Tribolium castaneum: one gene and its partner. The protein of the gene in region 2 purifies or fractionates together with the protein of the main gene of each other region. This does not show direct contact. Links are inferred from orthologs where the notes say so. Each region holds a gene or a part of one and is shown on either strand. Other genes may lie near its edges.

Region 1 (3,885 bases), on a different chromosome or scaffold from region 2:
GGACGATTGTGGGGGCGCCTTCACTATGGGGCTCATCGGCGGCGGCGTTTTCCAGAGCATTAAAGGCTTTCGCAACGCCCCTTCGGGTTTCAACAGACGATTTGTATGTGCCCCCTTTCACAAGCCCGTGGTGATTTTGCGTTTTAGGTTGGCAGTTTGGCTGCTATCAAGCAACGGTCCCCTATAATCGCCGGCAACTTTGCCGTTTGGGGCGGCATGTTCTCCACAATTGACTGCGCCCTAATCCACATTAGGAAAAAGGAGGACCCCTGGAACTCCATTATAAGTGGGGCCGCGACTGGGGGCATCCTCGCGGCGAGAAACGGGCTCCCGGCCATGGCCGGGAGCGCCTTCATTGGGGGCGTTTTGTTAGCTTTAATTGAAGGAGTCGGGATTTTGTTCACTAGGTTGTCAGCGGAGCAGTTCCAGCCGCAGATGCCCCCCATGGAGGACCCCTCCCAGCTGAGGGGGCAACAGAACGGGGGCTACTCGTTCCAGTAGGCGCGCGTGTGTTTGTAGATAAATTTTTGTTTAAGGCGTAAATATAAGTTTATTTTGATCTGTGTTTTATTTATGTAATGGGTCAAATAAAGATTCTTACGAAAAACAGAAAATTTTATTTGATAACATGCGAATTCATAACTTAGTCTTGGTTGTGATTACCTTAAGTAAAAATACAGAACCTAGGTTTGCTTCCTATGTTTTATTTAAAATGTGTTATTTATACATCTTAGATTACGCTGTGTGATTGAAAAATTCAGACTTTTGACCACTCTATTTACTAATTAAGCTCAGGCATGACACACCAACTCATCTGAATTTTTTAATCAGTTATTTACAAACTTGAATGCTAGTTAATTTTACACGAAACCGGTGACGCTTCTAAATTAAACTATCCTTACATTTATAAAAACAAAACTGGGAAATTTATTATACATTGAACCCTATTTATAAAAATGATGGAATTTTTGCACATTTTTAACCTTATGCAAAGTTAACGCCATACAAAAGTATGAAAGAAAATAATCAAGATTTAATTTCATACATACAAGAATACACAAATTTGGGGTAGAAATAAATTAAATCAAATGTATACACCTTTTAAATTAACGTTTACCATTATTAAAGTTCAAACTTCTCAGAGGCGCCTTAAAAGTCGAGGCTGCTTGCTGTTGCAACTGGTAAGCAAGGGGATGAATTTTAAAACCAAATAACCTGAAATCATTTGTTGAAGAACAATTCTAAAAAAATCAAGTGAGTCTAAATAAAAGCGGGGTCAAGACAATGCTTTAAAAACAACGAAATAAAAAAATGACTAATTTTTCGTTTCGTGTAAAGTTATTGAGGATTATTATACGTAACATCCCAAAAATTCCGAAATGAAGTAGGTTTTGACTTCTCAGTTGTCACTTGATAACTGACAATATTAAATTCGCCAAGCACTCTTGACCAGACTTTCAATTAGACTCACGCCAGTTCGGCTATACCTAGGAACAAATTGATTTGTTGGACGCTTTGGCCTGTATTCTGGGTGCACCATGAAGAGCATGTGAGGGAAACCTGTCCCAAAATAGGCCCCATCTGTATGGTGGTGCCTTGAAGACTTTGGTGTGTACACATCCATACATTTGGGGCAATATGACTTGACCATTGCCTCCCCAGGTACATCAGACAGCCCTAAAGCACAAACCATTACCCAAAAAAATACCAAAAGTGTTGGGGTTACCCAAAGGCAGCATTGCCTGCGATTCGCAGTAAACTCGTGGACAATACCCAAAATCCCCAGACTGGTATTTTTCAATCATTTGGGCGATCCCCCGATTTGTTAAAATGTACCTAGCGTGTATTAACCCATAAAGCATCTCGGCCGCTTGCTCAATCAGGTCGGATTGGTTCGGATTATCGTCAAGTTCATCATCTAAAAAGCCGAGTTAAAAAAATGTGAAACCAGGGATGGGTTCAAAATACCCGGTTCTAAGTCTAGTATCATATCAAGAGCTTGCCTGTAGTGCGGAACTTGCTCATTCAAGCCCGTCAAGTTAAATTTGTCCTGTATATAATCCTCATCCACCTGCAAATACACTCAAAAATCTCGTCTTTAAAACAGGCAAATTCATTTACTTCGCAAAAGAATTCATTTCCTCTAAGTCCGCAAAACCATGAAATCCACGAAACCTCCTCTGAGCTGCTCATTTTCCTAAAACATTTCCGATTTATTTAGAAAATTGGAATTTTGAGACGGTTGTGGCTGTCCAACCCTATGTTTAGATTACGTTTAATGACATTTGTGACACAACTACGACGTTAATTTCCCATTTTTGGGCTTAGAAGGGATGTGGAGGGTTGGCAAATGACGAGATTAGGGCTAAATTGTGATCGGGGAAAGAAATATTTGAGAATTTTACCTCTTTGTACCTTGATTAGCCACGCTTACGCTACTTCATCTACGCGAAAAAAGAGTTGATGTTGGGCTCATCTAGCGGAAAGTGACGGCATTAAATGACAGCTTTAACCGCTAAGTTTGAAAATTACAAGTGGGATTTTTTAACTACAGTTAAACCTCAGAACGGCGTGCACAACTTATCACACACGCAAACGGGGTTGCATCCAAGAAAAAATCAAAAATAACTCACCCTCGCGCTCACCCTGTATTTTTTTCTATCCATACAGTAGTATTAATTAATCAAAAATATTCACTTATAAAATGTTTTTTTTATTTTCAATACAATGTACCGTTATCAAAATTTCATATCAACTTCATTAATCAACATATTATGTAATAACTTTTGCACTTTTGCATTCATGTGTGTCTTAACTTATTAAATGAGACTTTTTCCAAGATTTTTTTCAACTTGGCATTTTCAAAATAGGCAGTTTAAGACTCCGCCCGGCATTATAAATCTTCTACAATCTTCTACATTAATGTATTACTTCTTTTCAAACCTGCTAAGAGCGTTTTTTAACATCAGCAATTCTTCTTTCTCCAAAATTATTATTATTATTATTATTATTATTATTATTATTATTATTATTATTATTATTATTTTTATTATTTTTATTTATTTTTTTGAGCTCATTAGGATAGCTTTTTAGCTGCTTATTAAAGTTTTTTTTGAAAATGTTCAGCACGTTTGTTGCAACTTTTCGAAAAGTGTGGATGTGTTTCCAATAAAAATCTCTGTATAAACACTATAATTTTTTTCTGAAAATAAAAATGACCGATTTGCGCTCCGCTCTCTAAACATAGTCAACCATAAATAATTTTCTTTTGATGACATTATGTAACCCAAAACCGTGAAAACTAGATAAAAATAGTGAAAATCGGATCATTTCCCTATTTTTAGTTTGCGCAGACGGCCGGTCTAGTCGAAGGCTTTCCTAGGCGCCGCGACGTCGTCACCCGAATTATTAAGTGACATTTAATTCCATTTGAACCGGACAATAAACTTTTAACCGCCTATTGTTAGTTGAAAAGTGAAAACCCAATCTACTTTTAGAAATCTGCTTGCACAAGTGGGACGTGCTAGTTGCGGTTTTTGAAGACTGTTGACTCATAAATAAATTCTGGCTCTTTTGTTATCATTATTTAAACAAAGGCTAAATTACACCAAAATGTAGTAATTGGTTTATTGTGATTGTTAATTGCGAGTCAAGGTTGTAGCAGATTATTTATTGTTCGGCTTCATTCTCTTGTGCGGGAGAGTGTTGTAAACAAACAAGTGGTTATAATACATTGCATTTTCTTCCACGGTGTGTTTAGTTAATTGGAAGGTTGTTGTCGCTTGTACTGTAATTGCAGTGTTAGTGCGACGATGTTTTTCTGAAGCTGAGTGGGTATGAAAGACGGCAGGAAATTACAAAAATTAATTCAATGTCAGTGAGACG
Region 2 (2,898 bases):
TAAAAAATTGCCAGTCACTCGAGCGCCCTCTATCCCAATTCTCACAAACGTTAAATATAAGCCACAGAATGTCAGACGAAGTAACTTTTGACTACGTTAGAAGCCTAAAAGACAACAGACAGGTTCTTCTAATTGATGTGAGGAACCCGTCGGAATTAGCGCAAACTGGAACAATTCCTGGAAGCATCAATATACCTTGTAAATACCCTAATTAACTTATGAATTAACTGCAAAGTACTTCATTTCAAGTGGCCACTTTAGAAGAAACGCTGCAGAACACAAGTGATGAACAATTTCGTCAAGTTTTCCGAAGAGAAAAGCCTACAAACACCACGCCTTTAGTTTTCAGTTGTCAGTCGGGGCGGCGGAGCCGAGCTGCGCTAGATTTAGCCAAAAATCTGGGATACGTAAAGTAAAACATTCGTTTTGTTCCGTCTTTAATTAAAGTCGCCTGTGATTTTTAAATTTAGTTGGCAACTAGATGTTGCCAACTTAATTCGAAATCATAGGCCACTTTGACCCGAAATTTAAGTTCAATTTTCAGCGCCAAACATTTCCCTGGGGGATGGACCGGTTGGGTACAACAATGTAAAACAAATTAAGTAATAAAAAAACTTTATTTATACGTAATAAACACTCAATTCTACGAAATTAATTTTTCTTTTCGGCCAGTTTGGAGTTGACCATTTCCCTGAACTGTCCCAAAATCCTGTTCTCCCTCTTCTGCCGTTCTTCTTTGCTGAACATGGCCAAAGCCCGCTTCTCATCAGCTGAATAAATCTGGTTTTCTTTCCGTATCCTCACAGCCTCCATTCTCCTGTGTCTTGAGCCGGACATGACATAACCCACGGCTTCAAAACTTTCAATTTCTTCAGACGTGAGTCCAATTTCACCTCTTCTTGGTATCCGTTTTCCTTCGGCGACGTACGCAGCCATGGCAGCCCCCTCACCAGGGAGCAAAGCCTTGCCCATTTCCTTGTGAGTCAGGGCGGCATGGGGCTTCAAAATGGGGCCGACGATCACCTCTTCGGTCTCTTCCGCATTGGTTTGGGGTTTGTTGGTGGTTGTGGTCTTCTCGACCCACTCTTCCTCCCCTGAACTGCTCTCACTTGAAGACTTCTTCTTTTTCTTCTTCTTTTTATGCTTCTTGTGGGATTTTTTCTTTTCCTTCTTCCGTTTTTTTAGCTTGGGGGCGTTCTTGGTGACGTCTTCGACGTCACTGTCGGAGTCTTCGGGTTCGGGGGATTGGCCCCAAATGCTGGGGTAATCCCTCATTCCGAGGATCTCACGCTCCTGGCGTCGGGACTCCATGAACTCGTCCTCAAGGTGTTTTTTCTTTGTGACTTCATATTTGTCGTTTCGTTCAAAACCGTTTGTTGTGGTGCCTCTGGATCTAGACCTGCGTCTGCTGGAATGGCGGTCTCTTGACCTGGAATGAGACCTGGACCTGTGTCTCCTATTACGATCATTTTTAAACGATCTATCAGTTTTGTGTCTCCGGTGGTCCGGGGAACGGGACCGACTGCGTCTGTGTTTTGCCACATCCATCATTTCGTAAAAAATCAATTTTTTTACAATAACATAACCTTTAAAAAAAACTGTCAAACTGAAGTCACTTTACGTCATTCCCATAAGCTAGAATTGACATTTGCTCAAACCATTTCAAATTTTAAGGAAATAAATAAAACACAAAATGCGTCGATTTGCTAATTTTTATTCATACAACGATACTACAATTGTAACTGATTAAAATTCGGGTTTGGTGCAAGCCATGGCCCCGCACCGATTCCTGCAGCACTTTTTAGCCCCCCTGCAGTCCGAGTCTAGGGCACACCTGCTGGAGCACACCCAAGGGCCTGACGGTGCAACTGGACAAGACCCTTGTTTCTCTAAAACACAAATTAATTTTCTTTAAAAAAAATTGTATCCATTTCACCTCCTCTTTGAATTCGCCTCGTTGTTACAGGGGCCGTACAAAAAGTGCCGCCACAAGCCGTCCGGCAGCATTTGAAATGGCCGGCACAGTGGTTGTCTTCGAAACAGGCCACTTCACAGATCCCCACGTTGGGGTACGGGGGGCAGTCTCCCGATTTTGTTCGAGGCCTTTGGCCGTACACAAAAACAGTTAGAAGGGAAAGGATTAAGAAAAGTTTTGCCTGCATTGTTAACACTTGTAGGGCTTTAAGATGAATGGAATTGGATGTTGTGTAGGTGCAAGAGTCGAAGAAACGGAAACCACAAAACGACAAATTGAAATTTTGATTAAGTGTGCGGATTTAGGGCGGATGTGGGGTTCCACTGCGGTTTGCGCAATTTAGTAATTGGTTGAAATCTACAAAAATAGAAAAAATGTATTAAAAATTACCCATTTTTATTATACTTGTATTAATTTACTACTGTTTTTTTCTTCAATTCCTGCTGCTAAACAAAATTAGGTCAAAAATTTTAGTTTTTTGAGCGTTTCATCGCGTTTTCAGTCAGAAAAGCGTCTGCTGTGAGTAAAGTTTTATCAGAGAAGTCACACTATTTCAATCGTTATACAGTTTCACGTTTAAGACTGTAAACAGATTGAACCAAAAGTATAACAACAAAATTCACATTTAGTTTAAAAACAAGCCACCTTAAATATCTTAGTAAAAAAAAACAAAAAAAATAAAATTTTTGAGACAGGTCAATTTTTATTTAAAAAGAAACATTTAAAAAATCTCTTATATTTATTTATATTTATATTTATATTTGATTTAGTTATTTTTTTATCTTACTCAATATAATAAAATGGTCGATTGGTAAATTTTTTCTTATTTGAATTTTTCAAAAAATTTATTAATACGTGTATTATACACGTAATCAATAACAAACAAAAATTTCGAAAAAAACAATTTTTGAAAACGCTTGGTT

What was found. The genes of interacting proteins can lie anywhere in the genome.
Region 1: the proteins of NKAP family protein CG6066 (region 2) and CkIIbeta purify together in Homo sapiens (co-immunoprecipitation; 3 studies listed by BioGRID and IntAct, counting the BioPlex papers as one, with this or other methods). This does not show direct contact. The link is inferred for Tribolium castaneum from reciprocal best matches to the Homo sapiens genes NKAP and CSNK2B.

Annotation. Positions count from the first base shown.
Region 1 is NC_087397.1:979,817-983,701, reverse strand, and holds CkIIbeta (casein kinase II subunit beta), read right to left. Parts: upstream 2,550-3,885; 5' UTR 2,406-2,549; intron 2,198-2,405; 5' UTR 2,194-2,197; coding exon 2,122-2,193; intron 2,072-2,121; coding exon 1,969-2,071; intron 1,919-1,968; coding exon 1,727-1,918; intron 1,678-1,726; coding exon 1,488-1,677; intron 1,216-1,487; coding exon 1,107-1,215; 3' UTR 603-1,106; downstream 1-602. Other genes in the region: mitochondrial import inner membrane translocase subunit Tim17-B, read left to right, coding at 1-103, 148-501. UniProt on the Homo sapiens protein: Regulatory subunit of casein kinase II/CK2.
Region 2 is NC_087400.1:4,954,048-4,956,945, forward strand, and holds NKAP family protein CG6066, read right to left. Parts: upstream 1,644-2,898; 5' UTR 1,552-1,643; coding exon 652-1,551; 3' UTR 599-651; downstream 1-598. Other genes in the region: waprin-Rha1, read right to left, coding at 1,747-1,889, 1,937-2,162. UniProt on the Homo sapiens protein: Acts as a transcriptional repressor. Plays a role as a transcriptional corepressor of the Notch-mediated signaling required for T-cell development. Also involved in the TNF and IL-1 induced NF-kappa-B activation.